Macaca mulatta: one gene and its partners. The protein of the gene in region 2 interacts with the protein of the main gene of each other region in a pairwise test. Links are inferred from orthologs where the notes say so. Each region holds a gene or a part of one and is shown on either strand. Other genes may lie near its edges.

Evidence for each region.
Region 1: the proteins of DMRTB1 (region 2) and EXOSC1 interact in a two-hybrid assay, tested with the Homo sapiens proteins (2 studies listed by BioGRID). The link is inferred for Macaca mulatta from reciprocal best matches to the Homo sapiens genes DMRTB1 and EXOSC1.
Region 3: the proteins of DMRTB1 (region 2) and SLAIN1 interact in a two-hybrid assay, tested with the Homo sapiens proteins (2 studies listed by BioGRID). The link is inferred for Macaca mulatta from reciprocal best matches to the Homo sapiens genes DMRTB1 and SLAIN1.
Region 4: the proteins of DMRTB1 (region 2) and RBFOX2 interact in a two-hybrid assay, tested with the Homo sapiens proteins (3 studies listed by BioGRID). The link is inferred for Macaca mulatta from reciprocal best matches to the Homo sapiens genes DMRTB1 and RBFOX2.
Region 5: the proteins of DMRTB1 (region 2) and NIF3L1 interact in a two-hybrid assay, tested with the Homo sapiens proteins (2 studies listed by BioGRID and IntAct). The two-hybrid records come from large-scale screens. The link is inferred for Macaca mulatta from reciprocal best matches to the Homo sapiens genes DMRTB1 and NIF3L1.

Annotation. Positions count from the first base shown.
Region 1 is NC_133414.1:109,488,201-109,491,715, reverse strand, and holds part of EXOSC1 (exosome complex component CSL4), read left to right. Parts: intron 1-1,738; coding exon 1,739-1,772; coding exon of another isoform or gene 1,773-1,779; intron 1,780-2,699; coding exon 2,700-2,750; coding exon of another isoform or gene 2,751-2,835; intron 2,836-3,182; coding exon 3,183-3,267; intron 3,268-3,515. UniProt on the Homo sapiens protein: Non-catalytic component of the RNA exosome complex which has 3'->5' exoribonuclease activity and participates in a multitude of cellular RNA processing and degradation events.
Region 2 is NC_133406.1:187,151,274-187,154,350, reverse strand, and holds part of DMRTB1 (doublesex- and mab-3-related transcription factor B1), read left to right. Parts: intron 1-2,797; coding exon 2,798-3,011; intron 3,012-3,077.
Region 3 is NC_133422.1:72,554,348-72,557,862, forward strand, and holds part of SLAIN1 (SLAIN motif-containing protein 1), read left to right. Parts: intron 1-655; coding exon 656-938; intron 939-2,954; coding exon 2,955-3,030; 3' UTR 3,031-3,515. UniProt on the Homo sapiens protein: Microtubule plus-end tracking protein that might be involved in the regulation of cytoplasmic microtubule dynamics, microtubule organization and microtubule elongation.
Region 4 is NC_133415.1:15,502,325-15,506,529, forward strand, and holds the start of RBFOX2 (RNA binding protein fox-1 homolog 2), read left to right. Parts: upstream 1-1,398; 5' UTR 1,399-1,410; coding exon 1,411-1,596; intron 1,597-4,205. UniProt on the Homo sapiens protein: RNA-binding protein that regulates alternative splicing events by binding to 5'-UGCAUGU-3' elements. Prevents binding of U2AF2 to the 3'-splice site.
Region 5 is NC_133417.1:106,005,847-106,010,044, forward strand, and holds the end of NIF3L1 (NIF3-like protein 1), read left to right. Parts: intron 1-1,520; coding exon of another isoform or gene 1,521-1,528; exon of another isoform or gene 1,529-1,577; intron 1,578-3,370; coding exon 3,371-3,555; 3' UTR 3,556-3,694; downstream 3,695-4,198. UniProt on the Homo sapiens protein: May function as a transcriptional corepressor through its interaction with COPS2, negatively regulating the expression of genes involved in neuronal differentiation.

The DNA of each region.
Region 1 (3,515 bases), on a different chromosome or scaffold from region 2:
GCAGATCACAAAGTCAGGAGTTTGAGACCAGCCTGGCCAATATGGTGAAACCACGTCTCTACTAAAAATACAAAAACTAGCCGGACATGGTGGCGTGCGCCTGTAATCCCAGCTACTCAGGAGGCTGAACCCGGGAGGCAGAGGTTGCAGTGAGCCAAGATCACGCCACTGCACTCCGGCACAGGGTACACAGCGAGACTCCATCTCTTAAAAAAAAAAAAAAAAAAAAATTAGCTGGGCATGGTGGTGCATACCTGTTGTCCCAGCTACTTGTGGAGCTAAAGTGGGAAGATCACTTGAGCCTAGGAGGCGGAGGTTGCAGTGAGCTGAGATTGTACCACTGCACTCCAGCCTGGGTGACAAAGTGAGACCCTGTCTCAAAAAACAAATAAATAAATGAAAAGTAAAGCAAAAAGAATTGAGTGAAGCTGAAGTTTATCAGTGTCAGGATGACTCAAACCAAAGTGGAAGGCATTCTAGGAAGCACTTTTTAAAAATTTTAATATAGATTGAACTCAGAGGTTATAAAACATTGAAAAGATTTGTGAGTGAGACGGTGATTTCCTGTGGCTTCCTTGAGAAAGGACAAACATTTCTTGCCAGGCAGATAATCTAACTTTTGAGGCCCTTTCCAGCCTCAGGATTTGATGTGGTTCTGTAGTGCAGCAATCTCCAAGCTTCTTGGCACCAGGGACCAGTTTCTTGGAAGACAGTTTTTCCACAGACTGTGGTGGGAGTGGTTGCAGAATGATTCAAGTGCATTACATTTATGCTGTACTTTATTTCTATTATTATTACACTGTAATATATAATGAAATAATTACACAGCTCACCATAATGTAGAATCAGCGGGAACCCTGAGTTTCTTTCCCTGCAATTCGATGGTCCCATCTGGGGGTGATGGGAGACAGTGACAGATCGTCAAGCATTAGATTCTCATAATGAGTGGGCAACCTAGCTCCCTCATGTGCACAGTTCACAATAGGGTTCATACTTCTATGAGAATCTAATGCCCACTTTGATCTGACAGGGGGCGGAGCTCAGGCAGTAATGTGTGTGATTGGGGAGCAGCTGTAAATACAGATGAAGCTTGCTTGCCACTCACTTCCTTCTGTGCAGCCCGGTTCCTAACAGGCCACCAGAAGTTGGGGACCCTTGCTATAGTGCTTCTGTTCAAGCCCTGAGGCAACAAAACTCCTTATCGTTTCTTGCCAAATCTGATCTGCCTTTATCTAATCAGGTATTGATACTGCTGCTCCGTGTGGTCTGAGGATGCTTCTCCACCCTGCTCCTCTGAGTAGCAGCTGGGTCCCAATTAAGACTTGTTCTGTCTGTTCTTGTAGCTCTTTATTTACTAGGAATCTACAGAATAATTCTTTCTCACAGGCTGGGCAAGGTGACTCATGCCTGTAATCCCAGCACTTTGGGAAGCTGAGGCGGGTGGATCACCTGAGGCCAGGAGTTCAAGACCAGCCTGGCCAATGTGGTGAAACCCCATCTCCACTAAAAATACAAAAACTAGCCGGGCGTGGCAGCACATGCCTGTAATTCCAGCTGCTTGAGAGGCTGAGGCATGAAAAATGCCTGAAGCCAGGAGGCGGAGGTTGCAGTGAGCCGAGATCGTGCCACTGTACTCCAGCCTGGGTGACAGAGGGAGACTCTGTCTTTAAAAAAAAAAAAAAAAAAAAAAATTCTTTCTCACAGATAATTAATCTTTCTGTTAATTCTTTTTTTATAGCAAGGAAGATGTCCGAGCAACTGAAAAAGACAAGGTTGTTGGTTGGTTCTCTTTTTTTAACGGCTTTACAAATCTCAATCCCTTAAAAGTATTATCTCAGACCAGGCATGGTTGCACACACCTGTAATCCCAGTACTTTGGGAGGCTGAGGCGGGAGGATCACTTGAGGCCAGGACTTCAAGACCAGCCCTGGCAACACAGTGAGACCCTGTCTCTACAAAAATTTTAAAAATTAAAAATTAGCGGGCATGGTGGCTCATGCTTGTAGTCATAGCTGCTTGAGAGGATGTGGCTGGAGGATTGCTTGAGCCCAGGAGTTTGAGGTTATGTGGTGGCACAAACCTGTAGTCCTAGCTACTTGGGAGGCTGAGGCAGGAGGATCCCTTGGTCCAGCAGTCCAAGGCTGCAGTGAGCTACCATTGCATCACTGCACTCCAGCCTGGGTGACACAGTGGGATTCCACCCTTAACAAAAAAGGGCTGGGTGCGGTGGCGCACACCTGTAATCCCAGCTTTTTGGAAGGCCAAGGCAGGCAGATCACGAGCTCAGGAGTTCAAGACCAGTCTGACCAACATGGTGAAACCCCATCTCTACTAAAAATACAAAAACTAGCCAGCGTCATGCTGCGCGCCTGTAATCCCAGCTACTCAGGAGGCTAAGGCAGGAGAATCGCTTGAACCTGGGAGGTGGAGGTTGCAGTGAGCCAAGATCGTACCACTGCACTCCAGCCTGGGCAACAGAGCGAGACTCCATCTCAAAAAAAAAAAAAAAAAAAAAAAAAACAACTTTTCATTTGTATGATAATACTATAGAAGCAATTAAAAGTTGTTGACTTGACATGAGTAATGATGATTTCTACCCTCCAGGATTAGAAAGTAGACTGGCTTTACCAGAAGGGTTCACAGTTTCATATAGACCCTGTCTAGAACTTTCACTTACCATTCCTGTTCTTTCTTTACAGGTTGAAATTTATAAGAGTTTCCGCCCAGGTGACATTGTCTTGGCCAAAGTGGTATCCTTTATTCCCAGCAGACTTCTGGGTTTTTGTCAAAAGAAGAGATGGAGGCTGGGCGTGGTGGCTCATGCCTGTAATCCCAGCACTTTGGGAGGCCAAGGCGGGTGGATCACCTGAGGTCAGGAGTTCGAGACCAGCCTGGCCCAACATGGTGAAACCCTGTCTCTACTGAAAATACAAAAATTAGCTGGACGTGGTGGCGCATGGCTGTAATCTCAGCTACTCGGGAAACTGAGGCAGGAGAACCGCTGGAACGCTGGAGGCACAGGTTGCTGTGAGCTGAGATCGCGCCACTGCTCTCCAGCCTGGGTAACAGAGCAAGACTCCGTCTCAAAAAAACAAAACAGAGAAAGTAGAAAAACAACTCAGCTGGCTAAGGTTGGGGGAAGACTTCTAACTCCTCATTTTCCTTCAGTGTTATGTGACTAGATCTCCCTAGGTGATGCACAGTCCAACTACCTGCTAACCACTGCCGAGAACGAGCTGGGAGTAGTGGTAGCCCACAGTGAGTCAGGTGAGATGGCCTTGCTTCCACATCCTTACTTTCCCTGGAGCTATGGTTTGGGATTAATCCATTGTTTTTCCTGGTTTCCCTTATCTGGGAAGCAGTATGGCTGTAGATATTTCCTTCTGAGATTAGAATGATTTTTTTTTTCTTCTTTGCTTGGTGCCGGTGGTGGTGGTGGTGGTTTGAGACTGGGTCTCACTGTGTCGAGGAGGCTGGAGTGCAGTGGTGCGATCTCCACTCACCACAGCCTTCAC
Region 2 (3,077 bases):
GTCTCTGGGAGCATACGTGTGGACCAGTCTGCACCACTCGGCCTGGGCTATGGCCTGTGCTTTTCAGGGCAGTGGGCTGAAAGACTCTGAGCATTCAGGGTGACCCCTTCCTTGACTGATGCTGATGCTGGAAGGGCCCTTCATTTTGCTGGACTCCAGAAAGGTAATATCACCTTACTGGGACCACAAAATTTAAGGCAGAGTCAGGACCAGAGGTAGACTCCCTGCCCACAGGTAGAGCACACTTGAGACTGCAGAGGGCTTTCAGGAGGAGGTGGCATTTGAACTGAGTCATGAAAAATACGGAAACCTTCCCCCAAACACCTGACACTTTAGGAAATACCTGTTGAAAGAATGAAATTTAATCCTTTTATAAGATTAGTAAAGGTCAGTCGTTAGCTGGTATTCTGTCTAAGCTGGGAATTTTGAGAACCGAGTGTGTAAAGTCAGTTCACCCCTGTGGTGTGTACTACGAGGTAGGTGTGATTGAGTTTTATGGCCTTGGTTACCAGCTCCTTCCAGACTAGGATGGCTGAAAGCCCTCTCTCTCCCTAATGAAAGTCATTAGCCACACAGTGTGGAGCCAGTCCAATGGGGCTCGAGCTGCACCCGGGCATGTTGGGCACACAGGTCACTGGGTCCTTACTCCTGCTTCAGCCTGGCGGCAACAGCTTCTCTTCCACTTGTCTTAGATGTTGTAAAATTGTGCTTAAAAATCATTTTCCACTGATTCAAGGGAAAAAAGTTTGAAAGCCACTGGCCTTGATAATTCCAGGGTGCCTATTGAACCTTCAAGGTAGGTGTTGTACCCCATTGTAGCATTGAGAAAAAAAGGCTCAGAGAAGTTAAGCTTTTGGCCAGGGTCACAAAACTGGTGAGAGAGAGACTAGGATTCCAGTTACACAGCTGGTTGGTGACAGAGCCAGGTCAGGTCTGGGGTCTAGGTGCTTTCCACTGCCCCTCCCTCTCTCCCACAGAGGTAGAACACACATGGCCCTTTACTCACACCAGCACTGCTGCCTGCCTGACATCTGTGGGCACTGCCCAGGGAGAGCCAGGCATCTCCAGCCTCCACACAAAGAGAGGGGCTCTGGCCAAGTAGAGCACGCTCCGTCTGCTCACACAGAAGCCTGGAGCCTGGCGTCCAGGGCAGGGCTCTGATTGACAGGCCTGCCAGACGGCCTTTGTTAAGAGTGTGATCTCAGTCAGTTTATCTGGGCCCAAGCTGCCACCACAGGCCCCTGGCAGGAGCTGTGATCCAGGGAGATGCTTGGCTGAGCAGCTCGGAATTAAAGCACTAATAATCCCCCTTCTACCCTCTCACGTCTGGAGAGAGAATCAGGCATTGATTTGTGAGCTGTTTCAAACCCAAGAGCCCCTGAATCACTTTCATCCTTGTCCTGCTGCCCCCTGCCAAGGCTTGGAGGTGCTCTCCAGAACAGCTTCCTCCTTCCTGTTCCTGTCCCTGCCCATCTGCTGCTGCTTGGCTCCCTCTGCTCTCCTGTTCACAGGACAGCACCGGCCGTGGAGCTGGGCAGACCTAGGGTCCAATCCTGCCTTCTCCATCGTGTCCCAGCCATGTGACCCATGGCAGTTACCTGACCTCTGAGGACCTCACTCAGGTCTTGGTCTGTAAAGTGGGGGTGGGAGGACCTGTCTATTAGGGCTCCTGAGTAGAATACATAAGGTGATGCATGTAAAATACCTAGCACAGGGTCTGGCACATAGTAGGTACTTAAAAGTGGGCTTTCTTCCCTTCCTGGTGGTTGAATGAAGTTCAACCAGGTTAGCTGGGTTAATCTAAGGAGATTTTTGCAGACTCTTCCAAGCCTTTAATATGCTCATGTGTGACCCACTAATGTGGGGAACAGTATATGGGGTTTCTCAAAGTCACTTAACAAATAACACTTTTAGAGTACTAAAAAATACTTTGTAAGACACCAGGACTCCATGAAACTCAGCTCAGGAAGTGTTGCTCTGAAGCATCTAGATAGAGAAGTAAACAGCGGGAACTACATCCAAAACTCAGTATTATTTCTTACGACATTTGTGTGTTTCTCGGTTAAGCTCTGAGCTGTGTAGTCATCCCCCCTCCAGATCCTGTGATGGGTCCCTGTGCTGTGGTAAGGGATTGGATTCTATCCCTTGAAGAAGGAACAGAAGCAGCAAAATGTTGATCAGTGAGGCCACTTGTCTGAAGTCACCCAGCGTATCTTGCTTCAGAAACAGCTGCTCTACACCCACATTGCCAACCTCTTCTCCCAAAGGCCCCGCTGGCACTTGAGTTTAAGTGACCACATGTGCCAGACAGGGGGTCCTGTGGGCTTGGGATGCATTCAGACCCTTCCCCAGTGCAGAGCAGCGCTGGACAGCTGAGTGGGCTGTGGAGTCAGCCAACTTGAGATCCAGTTCTGCCCTTAACCACAAAGTAGCTCTGGGGCCCTGGGCCTGTAGTTTCATCTCACTGAACCTATTTTTTCATCTTTACAGCAGGAATAGTAATAGAACCCCCTCCTAGGATTGTGAGCACAGTCGCCCTGGCATATACAGAAGGGCTCTGTCACTGTGACCATTCAGCTGTTCCCATGCTTATCTTAGGTTGCCTGTATTCCTTCTTGCCTTCAATAATTTGGCAGGTGTTTGCTGAATGCCGCCTTCCGAGTGCCTGTGCCTGTGTGTTTGGGGCCATGCATCTCCCCATCAGGAGCCCCCCACTTCGGGGGTGAGAGCTATGTTTGGTCAGCCCATCTGGCTAACTCTCTCTCCACTCTGCTTCTCTGCTGTGCGTGCTGTGCAGGCATCAGAACCAGTGGGAGACTTCCAGCCAAGCTACTACCTGCCGCCGCCACCACTGCCGCCCCTTCCACCACTTCCACCACTTCCACCACAGCCCCAGTTCCTCCCGCCAGGCTACCTCTCTGCGCTCCACTTCCTCCCCCCGCCACCGCCACCACCGCCTCCGTCATCTTTCTCACTGACCGTCCTGTTTGATACTGACAAGGAGAACACTGGTGAGTGAGCTCCAGTCTTCCAGCTTCTGCCAGAGCCAGGGAGACTTTCTGGAGGAAGAGGTACCT
Region 3 (3,515 bases), on a different chromosome or scaffold from region 2:
TAAAAACTTCTGCCTACCAGTTTGTTACCTTTTAATGTGAAATGATACACAAAGTTGGGTCAGTATATAGATGAAATTTTTAAGGGTTCTTACCCAGAGAGTTCCCGGTTCCCTTCATTTTATAAGTTTTGCTACTATTATATATGTAATAATGCCCAGCAACTCAAAGAGAGATAAATGACGTATGAATATTATTTAAGGAATATATCTGTAATAAACTGTTTGTACCTACAGATACCACCTCTGTCTTCTTTTCTATAATAACAACTATTAAAATATCTCCTCATTTTGTTTTCATGGAACCACCACCAAAGCAAGCATCAAGAAATCCTAATTTCTAGCAAGCAAGCAGGGAAGACTTTGTCTTGTAAGAACTCAGAGATCATCACATTTGTAAAGGAAAGGAGGCTGTGCTTAGAACTGGCTTCTGCATATAGCCAGGCACTTCAAAATGTGGCTCATGGACAGACCAGGAGATCCGTATCAAGGATTAGAATTTTCCATGACTCAGTGCCATCTGGAGCCTATATTCCATTTATCTCCTTCTGTGTATATTGTACTCTCAGGCATAATTGGCTCTTCTGAAAATAGCACACATTTCCTAAGTTGGATAGTGGTAGAAGCTCGCTCACATGAATATCATTTTCTCTTCTAGTTCCATCACCAGGACAGCTTCAACACAGAGTCCACAGCGTGGGGCATTTCCCAGTGTCTATCCGACAACCTCTTAAAGCCACAGCCTATGTGAGTCCAACCGTTCAAGGCAGCAGTAACATGCCTGTATCAAACGGCTTACAGCTGTATTCCAACACAGGAATCCCCACACCGAACAAAGCTGCAGCTTCTGGGATAATGGGTCGCAGTGCACTCCCAAGACCTTCGTTGGCAATAAATGGGAGTAACCTGCCTCGAAGCAAAATTGCACAACCTGTTAGAAGGTAAGAATCTTTATTTGCATAATTTCATTTGCAGTTTGGAACTAGAAACTGCTCCAGACACACGCTGACCTTTCCTTTGGCTCACTTTAACCTTAGTAAGTCACTACCCTTTGTGGCCTGACTTGTGCTCTCCTCCCTTTGAAAAGTGATGGATATCCCTGTGTGGGTCAGGTCCCCTTCTCTCTGATATCATTTTCTTCCCCTACTCCCTCATCACTATCACTCCTAACACTTTTGCTTTTACCAGACAAGCTCTGTCTCCAGAGCTTTTGTAGCTTTCTTCTCCCAAGTTACTTGCACGACTTGCTCTGTGCCTCCTTCAGGTCTTTGCTCAGACGGCAGCTCTATCCAAAAATTGTAGGGCAGGGGGAGTTGACTCTTTGGTTCATTGCTGTGTGTCCCTAATGCCAAGAACTATGCCCAGTATGGGTAGGATCTCAAATATTTGTTGAATCAGTCATTTTTAGTCAAAATATGGAAAAATGTGTCAGGCATATGTGCACATGCACACCCTCCTCCCACACATTTATGGTTTGAAAAGCATCTTAATGACATTCACCTGGGGCTTTATCAGCTTATGTTGGTAAGTTCAGTATGGTTCAGGTAGAAATTTTTTTTCCCCTTCAAAGTTTCAGAGTTTTTTTTCCTACTTCAAAGGACATTTTAGTCCAGCTCTTGGTCATGATGTACCCTTCTTGAACTGAATATTATGGAGTGTCTTATATTAAAAATCCATAAAAGTGGTTTGAAGAAAGATTGAGGAAATAAAGACAGTAAATACAGACAGCTCTTTCAAGAAATTAGGATATGAAGAAGGAGAAGGAGGAAACATAGTAAAAATTTGAAAGAGGTAGAACAAGCAATTTTTTCTGTCTTTATGCATTTATGGATATATAAATAGTTCTGTTTTTTGTTTAGAAGTAATGGATGCTCAGATCAACAACAAATTTCAAAAAACAGAAACTGTTGAAAAATAGAAAAGTAAAGACTGACCCATAATCCTACTACCAGATAGAAACAATTTTGGTACATGTTTATTTATTCAGTAATTTTTGGCTTATTCTGCTTTGTAAATGCCGAGCTGCGTCATCATGCTGATGGCTGACTAGAATCACATTATTTGATATATATGGTTATTATAGACCATACATTTATCCTTGAATTTGTGTCTCCAAACTAAACACTTGGAAAGGTCACTGCTAGACAATATAAGATGGTCTGTTTCCCCAAACTTAAGCAAATACTAGGTATTATTCCTTTTAATTTTTTTTAATTTAAATTTTTTATTTTATGTATTTTTTTAGAGACAGGGTCTTGCTCTTTTGCCCAGGCTGGAGTGCAGTGGTGTGGTCATAGCTTGTTGTAACCTCAAACTCCTGGGCTCAAGTGATCCTCCTGCCTTGCTAGGACTATAGTGCATGCCACCACTCCCAGATAATTTGAAAAAAAAAATTGTAGAGATAAAGGTCTTGCTGTGTTGCCCAAGCTGGTCTTGAATGCCTGGCCTCAAGTGTTCCTGTTGCCTTGGCCTCCCAAAGTGTTGGGATTATAGGTGTGAGCCACTGCACTCAGCCGAAGGTTCTTTTTAAATGTTTTGCCAACATGATAGGCAAATCTTTAATTACTAATACGGTTTTGAAAGTTTATTCGTATTCAGTTGCTGTTTGTATTCAACAGAGTAACCATTTATGTTTTTAGGCCATTTTTCTAGCCAGGAGTCTGTATTTTCTTATTTTAAAATATGTTTTACACATTAAGGGTATTGGCCCCTTTATTTATGTTGGAAATTTACTTGTGCAAATACAACACGCATGACACTCTGCCATGAACTGGGGCTTTGGGAGATAAGCATGCAGTGAAGACCCGTAAGTGTGAACCACAAGGCACACTTGAGATACTGCCAATGGCTTCTCATTACTGCAGTGGAGGAGCATAGATGGGAGAGTAGGTCAAAGTAAGTAATGTGACTCACAGGATTATTAACAATCTCTCTGTGTTTTTCTTGTCTCTTTTTAGTTTTCTTCAGCCTCCAAAGCCTCTGTCTTCACTCAGCACTCTGAGGGATGGAAATTGGAGAGATGGTTGCTACTGATGCAGTTTTATGTACCCTTGAGAAATGGGAAAGAAGTAAAAATGAGGGTTGTGTTACCTAGCTGGCTGGGTAGCAGTGGATGTTGGGATATTCTTTCCCTTTTGTGTTTTAATATATTTACTGCATTGTTTCTCAATGGACCAGTCACCAGAGACTAATTATTGCACTTAAATATTTGCCTGAGATACTGCAACAGTCTCAAACCCATGGTTGCAGTATTGTGACACTTAGATCTAGGAAGTTTTTGTAGAACTGCTCTGTACCTGAATACTTTTTGAGAGAATTGAGATGTATCAATAATGCTTTGCCATAGAAGTTTTTTAAAGTAACTTGTTCAATTTACTTACGTGTTCTAAACATCTTTCCATTACATGTTCTGTATTTTAATACATTGCATATTGACAACTAGGTTCTATAATGTATGCTTTGAAATTTACTTTTTTATAGTTTACAGGAATTTTATTTTTTGTGCCTATTTCTTTTTA
Region 4 (4,205 bases), on a different chromosome or scaffold from region 2:
GATATGGAACCCAGGGAAATCACGGCAGTCCTTGTTCTCACAGTCTGGTAGGGGAGAGAATCTATTGCACAGATATCTCTGTCTCCACGAAGTTGACAAGTCATAAAGAGCTCCTCAGGCAGCAAAGTGTAGAGAAAGAGAGTATGGTCCAGCGTTCTGAATTCTGGATCTGCCACTTTTTTGCTGCAGGATTTAACTAAGGTTCAGTTTCATCATCAATGAAATGGAGATCATGGTATCTACCTATATTACCAGTTTGAAATGGGTCTGTGGATGCATTGTGCAAACCCTAAAACTCTTACAAACATCGGATATTAGTACTAACTTCATTAGGAATGTGAGTTATGTCAGAGTAAAAGCTCTCAGAGCTGGGGTGAACTACAGACGGGTGGCTTCATTCCTCGACCTTCCAATTCGAGATCTTTTTCCTTCTGCGGGAGGGGAAGCAGGCAAATAGCCTGCCTCTCACAGAGTGCCCATTCCCTCCCCGGGAACCAAGGTGCTCAGGCGGGTAAACTCAGGACACAACACTGTACAACTAGTACCACAGGCAGGAGCCACTCCCTGGCCCTCGGGTCTCTCAAGCCCCGCCTGCTCCAAGCTACGGCCCCGCCCCAAAAGGAGACTGACCCCGCCCCCTCTGCGCTGGCCGGCACTCCTGCCGCGCGGAGCCTCCAGGACAGTCCCAGGCCCGTGCCGGAGATTCCCGAGCTTCCCCGATCGCTTCCCAGCCTCCCTCGGGCAGCTAGCGAGGAGGCGACGGAGATTGCCGAGAAGGGCTGGCCCCGCCCCTCCGCAGGCCGCCACCGCCCCCCTAGCCATAGCCTCCCGCGCGGGCTGGAGTCCTACATCCCGGTCCCTCCCTCCCTCTTTCTCTCTCCCCGCCTTCCCGGTGCTGCCACAGTGGCGGGTCGGAGGATCCCGGCCAGTCAGCTCGTTCCTGCCTCGCGCCCCTCCTCCCCCCAAATAAACAGCCCTCCCTACGCCTTGGGAGCCCGGACCGCCCCCTTCCTCCCTCGGCCGGCGTGTTGTGAGGGAGAGTGTGAGCCAGCGCGGCCGGCGGGCGAGCTCCGGGAGTGCGAGAGGCGGGGCAGCGCGGCGGGCCGGGCCGGGTGTCGCGTGTGCGTGCGGGGGTGCGAGCGAGTGCCCGTCGCGACCCGCCAGTGGCCCCGCGCCGACAACCCGGCGGGCGGGCGGGCGAGCGAGCGAGCGAGCGGCCAGGCGAGGAGCTCCGGGCGCGAGCCGCGGAGGGGCGCGGAGTCCGCGCGCTCGCGCGCACGCACGCACGCACGCACGCGGGGGGCGGGGGCAGGCGCGCGCCCGCCTGTCGCGACAGTCGGGGCCGAGGCCCAGGGGGAGGTGGCCTGTCGCGGGTCGCCCGGCTCCCGGAGGCGAGGGGGGCGCGGGCGGATGGCGGAGGGCGCCCAGCCGCAGCAGCCGCCTCAGCTCGGGCCCGGCGCCGCTGCCCGGGGCATGAAGCGGGAGTCGGAGCTGGAGCTGCCGGTGCCCGGAGCGGGAGGAGACGGAGCCGATCCCGGCCTGAGCAAGCGGCCGCGCACTGAGGAGGCGGCGGCCGACGGTGGCGGCGGGATGCAGGTGACCGCGCGGGACGGGGCGCCCAGTTATTGCGGGGGAGAGGGGGAGTGGCGTGAGGGGCGACCCCGGGCTCCCCGGCTTGGAAAGAGGGAGGGCCTCCGGGGGTCCTGGGTTGGAGGTGGGATGGGGGGACCAGTCGGGGCCTGGTTGGAAGGTGGGACGAGCTCGGGCTAGGAACGAAGGTTGCAGGACTGATCCTGGTGTGCCTGAGAGGGTCCTGATTCCTGAGGGGCGAGGAGGCACGACGAGTGGATAGGTTTTGGGGGGAAATCGAACGTGGTTGAGATGGATTCCATTTCTTCAAATCCTTCCTTAGTGCCCTGGGGTGGAGTGGAAGCCGGGAAATCCTGGGTTCTCTGGACGGAGTCGAGGAAGAGGGGATCTCGTGGGAAACCTCCCAAGAAGAGGGAGTACCTTTTGGCAGCCCTGGGCACCCGCTGGGATGGGGAAGAGAAGTGGCGTTTCAAGGAGAGGAGTGAAAAGCAAGAAAACTCCGAGAGAGAGCCCCGAGGGGATGTGGCTGAGATTGTGGGTTAAAACACACAGAGTGTGTGAGAAGTACAGGGAGTTTGGTAATGTTGTGGGGACACGGTGGTGCTCAGTCTCATTAACTTTGTGGAGCATACTAATGAGTCTGAAGGGAGACACCAGACATGTCCCTCCTGTTCTTTGCCAATTGCATTCTACATCTCCAGGACACAAAATAGCTCTTTAATGTCCTGGGCTATTAAAAAAAAAATTTTATAGGGCTATTATAAGACTGGATTCTCAATTCTGGATTCAAAGATAAAAGTGGTTAATTTGGGTAGGGAATGGGAAAGGTATTGATGATGTCAGTTGACTTCATAGTTTTGAGGAAGACCTTGAAACCTTTGTAGGTTTTAGGGTTTGGTCTCTGCCCAGAAAATACTGCTATGAAATGGTGAGTCTCACCTATCAGCAATTGTGCAGACATGTGCCTAGTTCTCTCAGAGTCATAGGATGTTAGAGGGATGAGGAAGACTAGACATCTTTTCCAGGGGTTCTTAACCTGGACAGACTAGGAAGATTCTTACTTATAAAAGGTGATGTGCACTTTTTGGTGGCAGAGAGTCAATAATTTTCATCTTTGTTTTTTTTGGAGGGGATTTGAGTCCCAGCTTGTTTTAACCACCTTATTTTATAGATGGGGAATCAGAAGTCCAGAGAAGATGAGTGACTTGGGTAAGGCCACCCAGTTAGCTGATAGTAAAACTAGAACCAGAAGCCTGGTCTTCTAATTCCTATTCCTGTGCTGTCTCCATTACACCACTCTTGGAAATCTCTGCAGTGCTAAAAGACTTCCTGTGCTCTGCTCCCTGCTTTTCAAGCCTCTGCCTGACTTCCTGTGTTAGGGACGGAGCTGTACTTAAGCCTAGCGTATTTGTTGTGTGCTTCTTGGTCTCCTTTGCAGAGTTTACCCTGTTACTTGTGTTGATTTAGGTAAAGTGACCCTCTTGGTGTTTATTTTTGAATTCTTTTGTTTTGTTTGCCTGCTTTTATTTTCCATTAGAACTCTGTCAGGTAGAGGGATTGTGAGAAGTAAAAGCTCAGGGCCATGGAAAAAAAGACAGGAATATGGGAGACTGCAGGTGAGGTGAGCTAATATTGGATGGTAAGGAGGGAAGACTGGATATAGGTGCTGGTGAGCAGGTTCTACTTTGTGTGTGTGTGTGTGTGTGTGTGTGTGTATGTCTGTATGTATTCATTTATCATTTCTGTCAATCATAGTTAATAGTGAGACCCCCATCCCTTTCCCTCATTTACTCCTGGGGCCTGTTATCTGCTGGTTGCCTTCAAATTGGCTAAAGATAGTGATATTCGGAAATGGAGCAATATGTAGGGACTTCACAGGGCTGTGCAGAGGAAAGAGTGGTTAGGTCCTTGGGGGTAGCTGAGAACTATCCCTCTGAGAATCCTTTTTTCACTCTGTGTATTTGTGGGTGTTCTTTGTTTATTTTCTTTCTATACATTTTTTTTTTTTTTTTTTTTTTTGCCCAGGTTGGAGTGCAATGGCACGATCTCGGCTCACTGCAACCTCCACCTCCACCTCTGGGTTCAGGCGATTCTCCTGCCTCTGCTTTCTGAGTAGATGGGATTACAGGCATGTGCCACCATGCCCAGCTAATTTTTCGTATTTTTAGTAGAGGGGGGTTTTCACCAGGTTGGCCAGGCTGTTCTCGAACTCCTGACCTCAGGTGGTCCACCCACCTCAGCCTCCCAAAATGTTGGGATTACAGGCGTGAGCCACCACACCCAGCCTTCTGTGCATTCTCGTTGTTGTAGGTCCATTCCCCTATGTCATACAGGTATTCAGATCATCACTGATTTAGGTCCTGCCTTCAACTAGCTGAGTGCCTGCAGAAATCTTTCATTTTGGGGCCTCTGTTTTCCTTAGCTATAAAATAAAGTATGTGTACAAGATGATTTCCCTCGTGATCTGCCCGCCTCGGCCTCCCAAAGTGCTGGGATTACAGGTGTGAGCCACCACGCCCGGCCGGTTTCTAAGTTACCTTCTAAAAGATATAAGTCCAGTTCACTGTGCTTAAGGTGCATGCAATCTATGTGGGGAAACAAATGGGTGAAAAGTT
Region 5 (4,198 bases), on a different chromosome or scaffold from region 2:
GTGGGTCCCTGTCACTTTGTCCTTGATCTCCAGTGTGCACTTCTGTTGGACAGTAATTGGCTCCTGGGCCTTACACTCTCTCCTTAAGGATACTACCTAATAGGTCCTGGCTAATTTTTATTGAAAGAATTACTTCACGTAGTTACTACTCAGGAATGTGACCAAACATGGCCCATTATACCTGCAAAGGATTTGAAGACATTTTAATGGGTTGCCAGTTTGTTTACCTCCTCCTTCTTAGGGTTAGGAGAGAATGAGTTAAAGAATTACTTTTCCCACTTCGAGGACCAGGCTCTAGACTCTTAGCCCTCTGGCCATTCCTTTGGCTACTTCCATGCTTCCCTTGCCTCCCACACCCATGCCTTGTTGTGTAGCACACTCTCTTACAAAGGCTGCTGCACTGAAAGCATTGTCACATCCCGAAGTACCAAGGAGCAGCATCTGAGAAAGCCTGATGGAACTGCTCTAAACCAATAAATTGATTAAAAAAAAAAAACATGTATGTGACTATTACCTGTTTTCCATTCTTCTGAAGATAAAAGATTTTTGTAAGTCCTTAAATTTCTACCAGATTAAAGTGAAATTTCAATATGAATATCTTACAGCATTGTGTCTGGCTATTTTAAAATTCATTTTAGCATTTTACTTAGAAGGAATTTCAGACCTATGCAAAAGTTGCAAGAATAGTACAATGAATTCCTATGTGCTCTTCACCTTGGTTACTAATGGTTATATTCTGCCATATTTGTACATTCTTTATGTACATATTATATATGTGTCTGTATACATTTGTGTGTGCATATATAGATATATAATATATAATATACAAGTTAAAATTTTTATATATATATATATATATATATAGATGTATTTCCCCCAGGACCATTTTAGAAATCGATTGCAGACATGACAATTTCTTTACCTCTCAATATTTCAGTGTATAGTCTTCTAAGAACAAAGACATTCTAAGTCTATAGAACAATTATCAAATGAGGGAATTTAATATTGTTAAAACATTTACTTGATATACAGTCCATATTCACATTTTTCCAGTTGATAAAAGTTTATAGTATTTCTTTTTCTGATCCATATCCAGCCCATGATCTCACATTGCATTTAGTTGTTGTTAGTCTCCTTCAGTCTGGAATAGTTCCTCAGCTTTGTCTTCATAACACTGACATTTTTAAAAGAGTATAGGCTCTTTGTTTTGTGCTTCTCGCTCAATTTGGGGTATCTATTTCCTCATAAATACTTTTTTAAAAACTAGTTTTTAAAAAAAGTGATAAAATATAATGATATGTTCATAAAATAAATTCAGGCAGTTCCAAAATGTTAAAATGTCCTTCCTATCTCGCTGTGGGGAGAAAAAGAAAATATTACCTGGCTAGCATTAGATGTCTCTGGTCTGTGAGGCATTGCTTTTGAGTGTAACTTCAGAGATGCAAAGCCCCTCCTAAAGGACCTCTGCTGAACTTCATCACGCTCCCTGTGAGTCTGAGGCCGTGTTCTCGTTGTATTAGGTTGTTAAGGGTAACACCCTGTAAGACCAGCAGATGGGGAGCCTGCTCCTTGCAAATGTAAGTTCTCTCATTTGTCATTTCATTCTCCATTTGCTTTTCCTTTCCCAAGCTGCCATCCTGGGCCAAGCTTTTCTTTCCGTTGGCTTCAGCAATTATTGCAGGGTCTTCACAGATTTCCCCCCTTTCATGCCTTCTCCGGCCAATGAGTTTGTCACAGTACAGGCAGCCAGACTTATCTTTCCTAAAACAAGGCTTCCAACTGGGTCATCTTAGTGTCTTTTTCTTGCTTTTTACTTTTACTATTATAGATTAAGATGTTTTAAAAAGTGCTCGAATAAAAATTATTCCTTATAATGAGATGACACTTACTAGAAGAGTGTGGGGAACTGAAAAATTCTGGAATTAAGAAAACTTATTTTTTACTTACAGATGTTTTCTTGTGGGAAAATTAGAGAAAAAACTCAATTTTTTTTCTAAGAACCTTTTTTTTCTTAAATTTGTATGCCCTTCTGTCTCTAAATACAGTTCAAAATTGTACTTTCTAAAGAACAAACCAAATTGTACACAGTGCAGTTTTGCTCTTAAATTACAAGTCATCAAATTCACAAACTGCATTTTTAAAAATTCAGAATATTAGGCTGGACACGGTGGCTCACACCTGTAATCCCAGCACTTTGGGAGGCCGAGGCGGGCAGATCACTTGAGCCCAGGAGTTCGAGACCAGCCTGGCCAACATGGCAAAACCCCGTCTCTACTAAAAATACAAAAATTAGCCAGGCTTGATGGTGGGTGCCTGTAATTCCAGCTACTCGAGAGGCTGAGGCAGGAGAATCACTTGAACCCAGGAGGCAGAGGTTGCAGTGAGCTGAGATTATGCTATTGCACTCCAGCCTGGGCAATAGGACAAAACTCCATCTAAAAAAATAAATACAAATATAAATAAATTAAAAATTCAGAATATTTGAGTTTTCCCCAAATCTTTTCACAACAGATGAGATTCCCTCCAGAGTTTCTAGGGATTTTGCTTAAGTCAAAGAAAAATACTTTGTTTTAATCTGGAAATAATCTTAAATTCATTTCATCCTTGTATATTAGACTAAGTTGACGACAGAAATACTAGTGCTTACAAAGCCTAAGTCTGCTGGGCAGTATACACAGAATGTCCTCCAGAGGTATTTATTACATAAGAGGCAGATTTTCTGAAGGCCTCATTTTACTTAGCAGTGGTCATTCTCTCTACGGTGGAAACACAGTAAAATGGGTGTTTACAGATCTGGTTCTGGCCAGATATGTTGGATTGGACGATTGCCTTGGGGTCTGCCAAGGAAAAAGAAGTTGGAATTCTCAATGGGATGGCTTTTATTTTTATTTTATTATATTTTCAAGACAGAGTCTTGCTCTGTCACCCAGGTTGAAGTGCAGTGGTGCAATCTCGGCTCACTGCAACCTCCAGCCCCCATACTGAAGCAATTCACCCGCCTCAGCCTCCTGAGTAGCTGGGATTACAGGCGCACGCCAGCACACCCAGCTAATTTTTGTGTTTTTAGTACAGATGGAGTTTCACCATGTTGGCTAGGCTGGTCTGGAACTCCTTAGCTCAGGTGACCCCCCTGCCTAGGCTTCCCAAAGTGCTGGGATTACAGGCGTGAACCACCGTGCCCAGACCTTTCTCTGTTTTTAAGTTGGAGGACATAAAAGAAAACTGTACAGTACTTTCTAGATTTATAACAGTTCTGCTGTATTACATTCACTTTATATAGAATATAAACTTGGTATTTCTGCTTTTGTGTTTCCTCATTCCACAGATTCCATATCTAGCATTTAAGAATTTGCTGTTTCCTTTTTGGTAGGTGAGATGTCCCATCATGATATTTTGGATGCTGCTTCCCAAGGAATAAATGTCATCCTCTGTGAACATAGCAACACTGAACGAGGCTTTCTTTCTGACCTTCGAGATATGCTGGGTTCTCACTTGGAGAATAAGATAAATATTATCCTATCAGAGACTGACAGGGACCCTCTTCAGGTGGTATAATTGCAGAAACATCAGGATAACACATTGTACAAATTAGTTGGATGCCAACTTGAATTTGTAACATGAGTCAGTGGGACTAGTGTGCTTCTAGAAGAGTGTCTTAGAGGGTATGATCATTTCCGGTTTGTTAATCTGATTCACCAAACATTCTTTTTTTTCCTTTTTTTTTTTTGAGATGGAGTCTCGCTCTGTCACCAGGCTGGAGTGCAGTGGCGCGATCTTGGTTCATTGCAACCTCTGCCTCCCAGGTTCAAGCAGTTCTTCTGCCTCAGCCTCCTGAGCAGCTGGGACTACAGGTGTGTGCCACCGCACCCAGCTAATTTTTGTATTTTTAGTAGAGACGGGGTTTCACCATGTTGGCCAGGATGGTCTGGATCTCTTGACCTCGTGATCCACCCGCCTCGGCCACCCGAAGTGCTGGGATTACAGGCGTGAGCCACCACGCCCTGCAGATTCACTAAATGTTCTATCGCTCATACAGTAAAACTGTAATGTAACTACCACATTAAATAACAAGTATTCATATAAAATCTAGGAAAGATTGAATAAAATCTGTTTACTTAACATTCTTTGGAAGCAGCTCAAGTGATTCTCTCCTTAGTTTAATTGTAGATGGGATGGGATGGATCCATTTGGGTATCTT